Lepisosteus oculatus: one gene and its partner. The protein of the gene in region 2 interacts with the protein of the main gene of each other region in a pairwise test. Links are inferred from orthologs where the notes say so. Each region holds a gene or a part of one and is shown on either strand. Other genes may lie near its edges.

Evidence for each region.
Region 1: the proteins of rint1 (region 2) and ribc1 interact in binary tests that used the Homo sapiens proteins (3 or more experiments, as listed by UniProt). The two-hybrid records come from large-scale screens. The link is inferred for Lepisosteus oculatus from reciprocal best matches to the Homo sapiens genes RINT1 and RIBC1.

The regions. Positions count from the first base shown.
Region 1 is NC_090697.1:74,708,702-74,716,440, forward strand, and holds the start of ribc1 (RIB43A-like with coiled-coils protein 1), read left to right. Parts: upstream 1-4,720; 5' UTR 4,721-4,973; intron 4,974-5,080; exon of another isoform or gene 5,081-5,237; intron 5,238-6,252; 5' UTR 6,253-6,278; coding exon 6,279-6,477; intron 6,478-7,157; coding exon 7,158-7,387; intron 7,388-7,739. Other genes in the region: structural maintenance of chromosomes protein 1A, read right to left, coding at 1-130, 919-1,122, 1,492-1,604, 2,108-2,296, 4,326-4,434.
Region 2 is NC_090702.1:48,097,525-48,104,429, forward strand, and holds the start of rint1 (RAD50-interacting protein 1), read right to left. Parts: upstream 3,009-6,905; 5' UTR 2,959-3,008; coding exon 2,737-2,958; intron 229-2,736; coding exon 1-228. UniProt on the Homo sapiens protein: Involved in regulation of membrane traffic between the Golgi and the endoplasmic reticulum (ER); the function is proposed to depend on its association in the NRZ complex which is believed to play a role in SNARE assembly at the ER.

The DNA of each region.
Region 1 (7,739 bases), on a different chromosome or scaffold from region 2:
TCTCGCGGTTGCGCTGCGCCAGCTCGCGGTTCAGCTTGTCGATCTCCGCCTCGTTGTGGTACAGCTTGAACAGCTGCAGCTGCACGTGGGCCCGCACCACCTCGTCCTTCAGGCGCTGGTACCGCTCCGCCTGGGGGCAGGGGCAGAGGCAGAAAGAGCGCAGAGCAGGAGGAACAGACAGGAGAGAAGATGATGGGCGAGAGAGAGAGAGAAGGACAGAGACAGAGGGGGGTCAGGTAGAGGCAGTGAGAGAGAGACAGAAAGAGAGAAGGACAGACAGAGGGGGGTCAGGCAGAGGGATAGGTAGAGGCAGTGAGAGAGAGAGAAAGAGAGAAGAGAAGACGGAAAAGACACGGGAGACAGATGAACGGAGTGAGAAGAAGAGAAACAGGAGGATCAGGCAGAGGGATATGTAGCAGCAGTGAGAGAGAGAGAGACAGGGAGAGAGTGTGAAGAGAAGAAGGAACAGACAGGAGAGACAGACGAACACAGAGAAAGAGAGAAGGACAGAGATGGAGTGGGATCAGACAGGGAGATGGGTAGAGGGCGCGATATAAACAGAGTGTGGACAGAAAGGGGGACAGAAATAAGAGAAAAGGAATGAGAGAAGACGGATAATTAATAAAGCTGTACATTAGAAGACTGTATAGTATATATAGTATAGTGCCACAAAGAAGAGCTCAAAAACAGTAAGATTAGTCTGTACATTATTTCTTTTTGTTGTATTGCATGTATATATTCCCTAAGAATTACTTTTGCTTCATGATGTACTTTTACTGTGTTAAGGAGAATAATACATGTCCCACAATACTTCTGTGAGAGTTTAGCCTGCATTTCCGAGTCCCAGAGCTGAACCCCCTCTTGTATAGGGATCCCTATGGGACCTCCGGTGTATAACGCAGTGCCCGGCACTCCAACCTCCTCCTTCTCCTGCTTGGCCTCCTTGCGCTCGGCGGCGATGTTCTTCTTGCGGTGGTAGTTGAACTGCGTGTCCTCCTCGGCCTTCACCATCTCCTTCTTCCTCTTGTCGTACTCCTGCGCCAGCTCGCCCGAGCGCGAGATCTCCTCGAACAGGGCCGTGCGCTCCTTCGGGTTCTTCATGGCGATGGACTCCACCGCGCCCTGTGCGAGGAAGGGAGGGGGGGGGGGGTCACGCCTGGTCCCTTGAACAGCTCAGAATCCGATATTCACAATCTCCGGACTGCGACTGAAGCAACAGTGGTGCCTTCTTCTTTACAACAAGAAGAAACCGAGAACCAACAGCTGATGCTTTCAACACGAATGCAACTCCACCCAGCAATCGACATATGGCAGCCTCCCGCACCACGACCAGAAAAGGAGCAAGGTGGGGTGTCCCTGGGTCCCCTGAATGACCTGCCTGGTACCCAACAACTGCATCAGGCCACCCCAGGCTCTGGTCTTGGGGGGGGGCAGTCGATCTGGAGCACTAGATTCGGAGGCCGGCAGGACGGGCGACGCCGTCAAGGGTACCTGGAAGACGAGGAAGTTTCTGGCCTTGATGAGAATGCCCAGCTTCTCCAGCTCCTCGCTGTACTCCGACAGGCCCACCACCTTGCTGTTGATGCGGTACTCCGAGGAGGAGCCTGCGGAGCGGGGAGGGGGGAGGGGGGAGAGGCACAGGAGGTGGTGAGGAGGAGCACGAAACACTGCGGCCCCGCCTCGCTTCCGGAACCGCCCCGCCCGCGCTCAGGCCGGCAGCTGGGAGAGCGCCGCTTTTCCCGAACACGCCCGTACCCATCGGCAGAGGAGTGCGTCGTGAAACCCTGTGAACACTACTATTGCACACACAGAGGCCACTCCGCTGTGTGGCTCATTTAGGTCATCCAGGTGCGCCACAGCACCGAGTCTGAATACCTGGGCAACTTTCGTTCAGATTATCTACCGACTTCTATTTGCTTCTTGCTGCGAATGTGCGCGTGACAGATCACCAGCTACTTCAAGGCGCCATGACCGCAAGCTATAAGGCAGTGCGGGCACTCAGGCAGAGCACCGGGCACCGTGCCGATGATGACCCTGCTGTAGCTCCTCTCCCCTCGCGCCCTCAGACGCGGCGGCGTGGCGCCTCCCTCTAAAGACACGGGCGTACCGATGATGACTCTGGTGAAGCTCCTCTCCTCGCCGCTGTCCTCGCAGTACACCATGCTGACGTAGGCCCGGTTGGCAGCCGGCTTGCCCACGGGCGCCCCGTGGATCAGGTCCTTCAGCGTCTTCACGCGCAGGTTGCTGGTCTTCTCCGCCAGCACGAAGCTGATGGCGTCCATCAGGTTCGACTTCCCTGCGGGGGGGGAGGGTTACACGGTGAAGGAAGCCCAGGGGTCAGGGGTCGACGGGCCACTCTGCCTGGCCCCATTGTAAAGACTGGGCACTTCACCCCGGCTCAATCCAGAGCAGGAAACGACAACCGACGGCCTCATCGGGGCTGAATTACTGCACATCGGCCTGGACAGTGCAACTGCACACAGACACAGAGAGGAGCAGAAGGAAGCCTGCACACGAGAGGAGGCCATTCAACCCATCTTATCAACTTCCACTCTGTGATGAGCAACTCAATGGCACATTTTCCTGAGAGCTGGGATTAGGAACAAATCAACATTAAACAGAGAAGCAACTTAACACTCAGGTACCAAGTGAGCTTATAAAGGGCATTTATTTAGGGCAAAGAATAGGAAACATTTCATGACACAAAGGGCTGTGGGAGCAGGGAACACGCTGCCCAGCCATGTTGTTAAAGCTGATACTCTGGCTTCTTTCACGGAACAGCTGGAAGACATCAATTGGCAATGAACTACCAAGCAGCCACAGCTGGTCCAAATGGCCTCCTCTCATTGGTCACCGTTCCCACGTTCCACTGCAGTCGTCGCCCCAGTTAGTGAACCTCAAGCCTCACGGATCTCAGGTGTGGATAAACTTACAGCATTTGAGTCCTCCCCCCCCCCCTAATGGGATCCCCTCAAACAGACTGGGCACGCAATGCAATGCAATGCATCTTCTGGAAAAAATCTCAGACAGACAGCTTTCCAGATAGCCAACACGGCCTCAAATCTCAGGCTTTAGCTGCCAGAGCAGAGCTCCCAGTGTGGAGAGCCCCCTGCGTGGAAGAGAGCCCACTGCTCTCGGTTGGCCATACCAGGTCGCTTTCATCCTGGGTGCAGCTGCTGTCTGCCATATCCAGCACCCCACTGGGAGTCTCTATCCGTATCGTCCCCGCAGTCTCTCCTCTTCTCTCTTGTGGGGACTCTCGATTAGTCCGTCTGCCCGGGCACGGGCTCGGTACAGCCTACCGTGAGCGCGATGGTGGCGATTTTGGTTAAAGTGATTTATATGCAACAGCTTGTTGACCGTGTGGTTCACACTTCACAGCGAAAGGGATATCGAATCACACAGGGAGGGACTGCACGCCTGTCTCTGCGAGTACGTCTGCCTTCTAGTCGCTAGAATCTCGTGTATTTAATGCATTTGCTAGGTAATCCTTAATTTCCTAAGGTGAACACTGTACCTCCACCGGGTGAATTAAAGCTGAACAAAGAGGCAGAAAAAGCAAACACGCCTTGTGCATCTTTCTTTGTCGAAAGAGACACACCGACAACACTCAGGTGATTAGCGGTACATACTTTATACAAGAACTACGGCTCCCGTTTTCAATAATTCCAGTAACTGTGAAAACAGGACGGCGTACACTCAAAAACACCGAACAGGTCTGTTAAAACGGGTTCTTGCATCCCTACAGAGAAGCTGCATTTGTAAAAGGGAGTTACGTCGTTGCGTTATGAAGAGTGCCGAGGACTGCGTCCTGCCGAGACGGACACACACACACGTGTGTGCTCACACAGCCAGATGACGCGGGGGTACAGGACAGGCATGTCTGCAGAGCGACAGGATCTACCGGCGAGGTCGGACAAGCCCGGTTACTCGGCGGCTCACCCCGCGGCCCGGCAAGAGTGCAGACAGCGCCTCTCCTGCCGCCGACGAGCGGCGCCTCAGCTCCCCGCAGCCAGCCCGCAGACTGACAGAAGCCCCGCACTGACAGCCCCTCTGGAAATCCCTGCGCGTCCCAAGACAAGCGCATCACGCACAAATAAGCGATTCACACTCGGGTGTCTGCAGAACGGCCCGGCTACAGAAATGAAACCGGGCTTCATATGCAATACAACCAGAAACCGTGCAGGAATTCGTCCCTTCATAAACCCGCCATGCAGAAACGGAGGCCTACTCCACCCCCGGCCTCGAGTAGCGGCTGGGTCCGCTCTCCGGCCGCCCTGAGACGGCCAAGCCCCGCCTGAACGCCGCCGACTGTGCGCCCTTACCCGATCCATTGGGGCCGATGATGGCTGTGAACTTGTGGAAGGGCCCGATGATCTGGCGTCCTTTGTAAGACTTGAAGTTTTCGATCTCTATCAGTTTTAAATACCCCATTTTTAAAAACGTTTGTGCAAACGAATTTCAACGTCCGTATTCCTGGTTCAAATGTTTATCTGTAAAATGTACTCTCACATACAGCGTTAACCGCCCCCTCTCTCCTGCGCAACCAATAGCTTTATTTCTTAGGAGATACGATATCTCCTTCTTTAGATTTTATATATCTATCACTAAAATGATTTTTTTTCATTAAATTATATTTCAAAAACCTAAATGAAAACAATTACTGCCGGAGCGCGCGCGCAACCGGAGTAAAAACAAACAGCAGCGCCACCCCTGCTCTCGCGAGCTCACGCGGGCAAGCACGCATACGTCCAAACCACACGCAAGACGTGCGACGCCAAGGCCGGCCATCTTCCTTTTGGGCACCACCTTCAGTCGACTTAAATGGGAGTGAGGGCACATTACAGGGCGAGTGGTGGATTCTCGTTTCCATAGGAACCCCAAGCGGCTGACTAGAAACAAATCAATTGGAATTTGCTCTGGGCACACATTAGTGGAAGGAGCTACCTGGCGCAAACGCAGCCAAAACCCTGGTAAGATAAGTGTTTTTTTTCTTTCTTCTAGCAGATAACAAATGCAAACCAACCCATCTATAAACCTCTGTTAGACTTGGCTTGGATCACGGCGGTGTGTCGCCTTGAAGCAGACTGCAGTGGGGTTGCTGTACAGCTGTTTATAACAAAGATAACTTGCGAAACAGAATCTCACCGCAATATTGGAAAACAAGGCTCCCTTGAGCAGATGAATTTGGACGAAAACCTATATTCGTCGCAGAGATACAGATGCAGACCACACAGGTAGCAAGCGTGGGTCCGGGAGAGACACTATGCAGTAAACTTACTAAATTCTCGGATTCCAGAATAAAGATTCCGTTCTCAGCTCCTCTGCTTCTACACACGGATCAATTCTAATTTTCATTAAAGTAAAGCAGAGGGAAATCCACTATGTTGACTGTAGCTGCCTTAGAGAACTTCGACTACTTGTATCGGTTGCTCATGTAGTCTGGGCGGAATACAGAGGGTCCACTCCCTCAGCCCAGGACTGACTGACCCCAGAGCAGCACTGTCTTGACTACTGTCTTGTCAGGAGGCCAAGAGCACGTTCTTAGGGAGTGACGGGTCTGTCTTCTCTGCTGAAGGCCAGACAGCACGCAGCTCTGGACCGGGCGTTAAAGTGCCCAGGTCCACTCCACAGATATTCCATTGCTGCAGTGAGACTGAAGTGTCACAGGACAGTGGCCGTCCCCTGCAGCGTACAGACAGCCCTGTCCCACGCCCAGGGAGAGCGTCCATGCCAACGTCACTGGATGCTAATGTGTGAAATCAGGGACCAGGGCGTTTCTCAAAAAGAGTAGGGGTGCTCACCCCAGTGTTGGGGCCAAATCTCCCCCTCAACATTACCTATCAAGGCCTCCTAATAAGCCCCTTTGAACTGGCTTCGTCACTCTGCTCTCCTCCCCACTGAGAGCTGGTGTGTGGGGAGAGGACTGGAGCATCGTCCAGGTGGGGCTGCACACTGGTCCCCATTACCTGTACAGCGCTTTGTGTGGAGTGTCAGAAAAAGCGCTATATAAGTGTAGGGAGTTATTATTACTGTTGTTTCAGGACTGAGACACGAGTATCACCAGAACTTTATGCAGAGCAGCACAAAACATGAATGTAAACATGTCCAGAAAAGCACTATATATAATATATACTTAATGAGTAAATATATAATAACAGTCCTCACACTTTTATGTCGAATCCTTACGATGTATGTAAGTGTAAGGATAATTATTATTTATGCTGTTCTGATGTTATTGTTTTTCTTCAGTGTGTGTGGCAGTGCAGTGTCGCGGGATGTATAAAGTAGACCTGCCTGTAGATGGCGCCCTCGCGGCGGCGGTGGAGCGCCGGCGGCTGGCGGAGGCGCAGCGGCGGAGCCGGGTGTTTAACCCGCGGGTCCGGACCCTGGGGGTGGACCTCCCGGGGCTGGAGAGGCAGGTGGAGGAGCGCCGGGTCCTGGAGGAGGCGGAGAGACGGAGGGACCGCGCCTTCGGTGAGAGACAGGGTCATAGGTCACACCCCCACCTGGCTGAGTGTCACTGTCACCCTCTACAGCAGTGTGTGTGTTAACCCCTCTGCCTCAGTGCAGTGTGTGTATTAACCCCTCTGTCTCAGTGCAGTGTGTGTGTACAGCAGTGTGTGTATTAACCCCTCTGTCTCAGTGTGTGTACAGCAGTGTGTGTATTAACCCCTCTGTCTCAGTGCAGTGTTGTGTACAGCAGTGTGTGTATTAACCCCTCTGTCTCAGTGCAGTGTGTGTGTACAGCAGTGTGTGTATTAACCCCTCTGTCTCAGTGCAGTGTGTGTGTACAGCAGTGTGTGTATTAACCCCTCTGTCTCAGTGCAGTGTGTGTGTACAGCAGTGTGTGTACTAACCCCTCTGTCTCAGTGCAGTGTGTGTATTAACCCCTCTGTCTCAGTGCAGTGTGTGTACTAACCCCTCTGTCTCAGTGCAGTGTGTGTGTACAGCAGTGTGTGTATTAACCCCTCTGTCTCAGTGCAGTGTGTGTACTAACCCCTCTGTCTCAGTGCAGTGTGTGTGTACAGCAGTGTGTGTACTAACCCCTCTGTCTCAGTGCAGTGTGTGTGTACAGCAGTGTGTATATTAACCCCTCTGTCTCAGTGCAGTGTTGTGTACAGCAGTGTGTGTATTAACCCTTCTGCCTCTCTCAGATGCACTCAGCCTTGCCCAGGATGCAGTGTTTGTTCAGGGTCAGCAGGAGGAACAAGAGACTCGTGCCCAGCTGGCCCGGGAGCTACAGGAGTTTCGGGCAACCCAGCAGTGCCCCAAAGACTCTCGGGACTTTGACCTTAATGACCCTCGTGCAATACACAGCGATTCCCCTGCCGGTCTCACCGACCCTGATGCCCAGTATGGGCCAGCCAGCATGCAAAGATTCGAGGTCAGCCATGCATAAAGACAGCACAGAAAAACATTTAGGCAGAGACACTCACTCAAAGAAACAGAGAAAGACAAAGACAGAAAAGAGCCTTGCAATCATGTCATTAGCACAACACATCCAGCTCCTGGTGCTGGTCTGTGTCTCTGTTTTTAGTGCTGTGTGTCAATAGTCCCAGTGCTTTCTGTATGTGTCAGAATTTGTAGGGCTCTGTGTTTGTCAGTATCCTCAGTGCTCTGTGTGTCAGTATCCTCGGTGCTCTGTGTGAATATTCTCAGTGCTCTGTGTGTCAGTATCCTCGGTGCTCTGTGTGAATATTCTCAGTGCTCTGTGTGTCAGTATCCTCGCTGCTCTG
Region 2 (6,905 bases):
GCGGCCCAGACACCTCAGGTAGCTCAGGTGCCTGGCAGTGAGGTCCAGCGTCCCCAGGGGCGGCCCCAGCCGGTCGGCCCAGCACTGCGCCCCCTGCAGGTGCTGGTGCAGCGTGTTGGACAGCGCCCTCTCTCTGCAGAGCAGGTGGCGCAGGGAGTCCTGGGCCTGCTCCGCCGCGGACAGCGCCGCCGACACGCGGAGGGGCACGGTGCTGGACACGGTCAGCACCTGCAGCAGGGGAGAGCAGACCAGGTACGTGTCCGTGTACGCGTCATGAGCACAGGCACAATGACACGCTTATCTGCATGTACACTCCAGTACGAAGACATTAAGGAAACCAAAAAACAGAAACACAGAACAACAACAAGTTAAATAACATATAACTTAAAAAAAACAAGTCAGACAAGCAGGGTGAGAAGAAAAGACAAAAAAAAGGCCATCAGTGTGAGCCAGCGGCAGGGGCAGAGTTCAGTAACCTGACAGCTTGTGGGAAGAAACTGTACGTCTGGATCTGGACGTATAAGCCTTTATGCTCCTATAACACTTACCAGAGGGAAGGGGGGAGACAGATGAGAAACCGGGATGATTGTTGACGTAAGTGATACCTGCAGCCTTCTTGAGACAGCGAGTTTTAAAAATGTCCACAATGGAGGGGAGCTGTACCCCAATAGTACACAGATTACGCAGTGACCACACAACACCGCCTCTCCCATCAGGACACACACAAACAACACAAACTGGCATGGGACAAGGAGAAACAGATTCTGACAAAGGACAGGCTCAGTGACCACAGCCTGGACATGGAAACTGGACACAGACCTGACTGCCCAGAGAGGACAGGCTCAGTGACCACAGCCTGGACATGGAAACTGGACACAGACCTGACTGCCCAGAGAGGACAGACTCAGTGACCACAGCCTGCCCATGGAAACTGGACACAGGCAGACCTCACTGCTAAAAGAGGACAGGCTGTGCTCCCACTGCCAGTTGGGAGACATAGGGACAGAGAAAAAGTTTCTGCTGCACTGCAAAAAATTCTCAGGGATTAGGCCAATGTTCTTCCCTAAATTACGACATCTAATTCCAGAATGCCCACTCCTGCCAGAATGGGAACAGCTTCAATAGAGCTGCAGCCCAGTATGTGATCTCCTGTCACAGCCTGAGGAACAGAGTGAGCATCCCAAATTATGGCCAGCAGCCATGTCACCCTGCAACTCACACCTGGCAGCCCACTGAAGCTCAGCAGGTGTGAGCCTGGTCAGTACCTGGATGGGAGACTCCTGGGAAAAACTAAGGTTGCTGCTGGAAGACATGTTAGTGGGGCCAGCAGGGGGCGCTCACCCTGCGGTCCATGTGGGTCCTAATGCCCCAGTATAGTGACGATACTTCGGATGAGACATAAAACCGAGGTCCTGACTCTCTGTGGTCATTAAAAATCCCAGGGCGTTTCTCGAAGAAAGCAGGGGTGTAACCCTGGCTTCCTGGCCAAATGTCCCATTGGTCCTTACCAATCATTGCCTCCTAATAATCCCCATCTCTGAACTGGCTTTGTCACTCTGTTGTCCTCCCCACTGAGAGCTGGTGTGTGGGAAGTGTACTGGTGCACTATGGCTGCCGTCATATCATCCAGGTGGGGCTACACACTGGTGGTGGTGGAGGTGAGCCCCCATTAACCTGTAAAACGCTTTGAGTGGAGTGTCCAGAAAAGCGCTATATAAGTGTAAACATTAATGCCTTGCTTATTGTTGCAGTAATTCATCGTTCAGGCATCGTTCAAGCTCAGCGAACCTGAGTGCCTGTCTGTGCGAGTCGCCCTGATTCAAGGTCTCGGTGGGAAACTGAGCCCCCTGCACAGAACAGGGCTGCCCAGGGGCCGAGCTCATCAGGGGGAAGAGATCGCAATATTTTCAACCCATCGCCGGAAGAGCGAGGACTTCTTCACACCCACCGCTCAGACTGATGTCACCTGCTCCGCATGAGGTCTTGCGCAGGGCAACCGCCCCACAGACCCCTCCTCATCTGGCACAACTCCCGGCAGAGGCCGAGCCGGGCTGCATGAAAGCGGCGCTTTCCCACGTCTCGGCTGGACTTTATGCAAAGGACGTTTTCTTTTGTGCCCGAAATGATGTGCATGACAATCGCACCCCGATGTGCCAAAGCGCTCACCGGCGGAGCGCTAACGGGGACGCAAACACACACAGAAAACTTCTCTCTCTCACACACACACACTGGCGTGTGGACTGTCCGTGTGTCTCTGCGGACTCGGCTCGTACACTTCAAACCCCAGTCTGCGGGCCGGTTCTCTGTCGTTTCCCTGCTTATTAGGATTTCAGGCACTTTTCCCCTCCTTGTGCTGCAGCTCATAGCGGGCGTGAAGAGCCTCATGTACAACGAGGATCAGCAAAGCGCGACCGTGTCGGCTCTGTGCCCCGGTTATTCCGACAGCTTCTCCGGCATTATGATGAGTTGTTGTTATTAATAATTACCCGTTTCTTACACTAGGACCCGAGAGGGACCAGGGGCGTCGACCCGGGCGTATAGCAGTAACAAACAGCCACTGGTTACTGGTCTCTCAGTAATAACGGGCTGAGCTACACTTTATACTGGCCGTATTATAATGAATGCCCTGCGCCGGTCCCGTCCTTTTATCCTCTTCGGGGCGGACAGCGCTGCAGACGGACTGCCATTGACCCACCCCGAGCCCCCGTCACCCGTGTCGCCCACCGGCTGCCCTACCTGCTCCTCCAGAAGCTTGTTTTCCGCCAGCAGGCTCTCCAGCAGGGCCCTCACTTTCCTCAGGGACTTCAGATCCCCGCCGATCTCGCTCTCCACATATTGGGTGACGTGCTCCGGGATGCCGTCCTCCTCCTCCCTGGACCCCGGACTGCTGTCCGGGTTTCCCGAACCGGGTAGACCGCCGCTTCTGGAACAGCCCCGCTCGCTCGTGGGCGCCGCCATATTTACTCGCAAGCGTCCTTCTCGGCCCGTCTCCACGTCAGCAGCAAGCGGGGGGTCGGCGCCCTCTTGTGGCAGCCAGAGGCATTGCAGGCGCTCCCCAGCCCGAGAGATGCCCTTCAGTTTGTTTTGTTTCATCAGCACGTAGGTGACAAACGAGGCGCGTTTGACCTGTCTAACACGTTTGGAATTTAGTACCTAATTAATTGATCCCAGGATCTCATCCAGCTGCTTCTTGGAAGTAAGAGTATCAGCTTCAGCAACATGGCCGAAGCAACATTGTTCCACAACCCTCTGGGTAAAGAAGTGCCCCCTGTTCTCGGTTTTAAATGCTCTTCCACATAGGTTTGTGCTTCAGTGCTGACTTTTGTCAGTGTCTTTGAGGATTTTGAATTATTGAATCAGGTGTTGCTACTAGCTTCTATATAACAAACAAGATGGGTTGAATGGCCTGTCTGCTCTCCATCCTGCAGACAAGAAAATATTTCCGGGGATGATGCAGAGGCAGTAAAACCCCAAAGCCTGGACTCAGTCAGGTTTGACTTGGCCATGCACAGCAACCCTTTTCTGTGATGGCAGAGAAGGATTCCACCATCACAGTGGAAACCTTACACAGCCTTTGTAACGTGCAGCTGGAGCAGAGCACTTCGGCTATGACTGTATCCAGGCGACGTTCTCTCCAAACGCCTCTGGATAAAAGCACCTGAAAAAATGCCCAACAATAATATAGGATGCAAAATGGCGCCATAAGTTTACAGTAAAAAAATCTGAGCTTCATGAAGAGCTCATTCCCACTAGCCCGCCGTTGCTTGTCCCCTGCTGAATCTTCCCTTCGGGAAGGCTGGACAGACTTGTTTAAGACATGTGGACAGACTGACCTGAGGAACAGCTCTCACACATGCCTGCTGACCGTTCCTGCTGGACCATTGCATTACAAATGACCAGTCTGACTGTGGAAAGTGAGCAAGGCCCTACTTCTAACAGGGTTCTCCTCTTTTTCTGACCACCCATCGTCCTCTCCCAGAAACCACAGGAACAGATCAAAGCAGACAGCCTAGCACCATCCAAGCCCATGCCACGCAGGTCCTGAGCTCAGGGAACATCACTGTATTATTGCCCTTTTATAAGGCAATAACCAGAGTGGAAAAATCACCGTACATACATGTTTTAGGAAAATAAAACAGAAGTATTTCAGCTGTTTGAAAGGTTGCCCATATAGAAGTTGTTTGTAGTTTCGGTTTTATGAATTGATCATTCATGATTGACTGTGGAAGTCATTTTGACGGTTGTGTAGTCGCTGAATCACTTCATTAGAGCTGACCGAGCACAGGGGATGAGGCGATTCAACCTGTTCAAGGATTACCCTGAGGGATCAAGAAAGAACACCCCAGAATCTGTCCAGCAGACGAAGAGAACAATGTCTTTGTGCCGTCAGAATGTGAAAGGCTCGACTATTCCGAAATCTGGCAAGATGTTACAACACGTAACAGCACTGACAGGGACTGATCTGGGAAAGCACGAGTCGCGATACCTCGCCAGAACCGACATCATGCACCGTCATCTCAAACTGCCACTGGACTTGCAGTCCGTTACAGTTCTCAGCTGTGGGGGCAGCTGAGCAGCCACTGTCTGCAGGCCAGACAATCACACAGAGGCCTAATGCTCATCAGAGTAAAGGGGGAGAGAGCCCTTGAGCCAAGGCCTCTTCAGAGATGAAGCATCGCTCTGCGTCGACCACCCCGATTGATGTTACAGATGTGACGGTGGTTGTGTACACTGGGCAGAAGTGTCCACTCACTACAGAACTCCACAGGCAGGGACTGACAGGAACCTGGCTGTTATACTGTGGAATCCCTACTATCCTGATGTGAGCCCCATCAAACATTTCTGGGATGAGCTGGGGTGATGTGACATCTAGGGCTCAGAGACCAGTGACCAGGCACAGGCTCCAGGCAGTAGGAGAGGAAAGGGACAGAATCCCACATCACAGCATCTGCAACCTGGTACAAGTCACGAGTCCCAGACGTACAGCTTGTACTTCCTCCCACAGTGGCCACACATGCTACTAGCCTGACCTGGGTATCCGCTATACAAACTGTCCTGATAATGTCGTGAATTTGTCACACCTACAGGCAATGTATTTTAGGTCACGTCTTTTCAATACAATTCAAAGTACTTATTACAAAAAATATCTTCCCCGATATGGCTGTAAACGTGTTGGATCCATAAGTGATGTATTTTATATCCGGTACACGATTTTAAATTACGCACGGGAGTAACCCCCCACCCCCCACCGCCGTTCGATCCACACAACGACACAGACTCTTGTATCGGCCATTTTATTCTTCGAGGAAGTCATCATCCATACAGGTGTCCAGTTTAAAACAATGGCGGCGGCGGCCCAGCGGGGCGGCTCAGGCACAGTGTGTGAAGCCGAGCAGCAGGGTGTGGCCGTCCCAGACGGAGTGGGCTGCAGTCACCAGCCGGCCGTGACCAGGACACACCTGACCGGGAGAGTACCAGGGTCCGATTTCATCTCGCTCCCTGGCGTCTGCTAGGAGCTTCTCCACCAGAGGCAGTGCTTCCCAAACCTCTTCAGATCACGGCACGCTTTTAACGTTAAATAAAATGCACCCATATTGCCAGAGTTAATTATTTTAAACTCTCAACATAGAGCAGTGGTTCCTAACCCTGGCCCTAGAAGAACTGTACCTCTATTTATTGCAGCTGAGTAATTAATCACAGGCTCACCGATCTCAGTTACCTATTTTGTAAATTCACCTGCAGCTCTTAAAAGGTCGATCGGGGCTTGTATTTGTCATCTGCTCTGTACCAGTTTCTGAGCTGCAGAGCTGCCCTCCTCCAGCAGCGCTCCCTGAAATGTAACTGATCAGACTTGTGCAGAAGGAGAAGCGCTCATTGCGTCATTCCCACCTCTACCTGCTCACCAGCAGCTGATCGGCTACCAAGAGCTGTTCACTCTGTAAGGTGAGGAGAGGCGGCACAGCGTTCTACATGCTGAACGTGTTGGGAGTGGTAACCTTGAATTCGGGAAATTTTGACACACAGGACTTACAGATGAAACAAGTTCAATGAAAGTCTAAACAAGAAAGCAGATCAATTAAGTCATCGATCAGCACTGGAGCAAAGACTGTTCCTTCAGGAGCAGGGCTGGGTGCCATTAACAGACTATAGCTGTGATGAGAAATATCACAGTTCACTTTTTTGGACTAGAAGCCTGATGTGATGATCTGAGTTTGTTTCAAGGGACAGAACTGTTTACCCCTTCGGTTCAATGCTGGGAAAAGCCACACAAAAACACAGATCTTTAAACAATCTCTTCCGATTCCACATGGGACCAGTTTGGGAAGCACTGCTGTCAGGGAGTGGGGCTCGCCATGCGTCACAAGATGAAAGGCTCCGATGGGCGGGCACGTACACCTACTCTCATTCTCCACTGTGCGGCTTTTTCAGCAGAGCTCTTAAACAACGGGCAATTTCAAATGAGAGTATAAAATAGAACATAACCAGGGGGCTACAAATGAGAAAAAATACCTCCCTGCACAGATCCCAGGGCTGTTAGAAACTGCTTGGCACAGAGAGTCAGTAGAGTCTAATCGCCACCTCCCTGCTCTCACTAGTGCTGTAAAGTAAAACGATTTCACTTCCCCTGCTTTCGCCTTAAATTGTAACACTTAAAAAAAAAGTAAAAAATAAAAACTTGCCCTTGTGCAATATTCTCCTCTCTCGTTTAAAAACACTGCTCAGAGGGGCGGCCGTCCGTGTGCAGGCCTGCTGGGCAGTGTGTCTGTCCTGACCCTTGACCCCTAGGTGTGGCCAGACCACAGCACTGCAAAACACACACACGCAACAGACGCGGCTGTACATATATACAGGAGCAGCAGCAACTTGTGCACAGCTGGACAGCCGCACAATCACGCAGCCCGGCT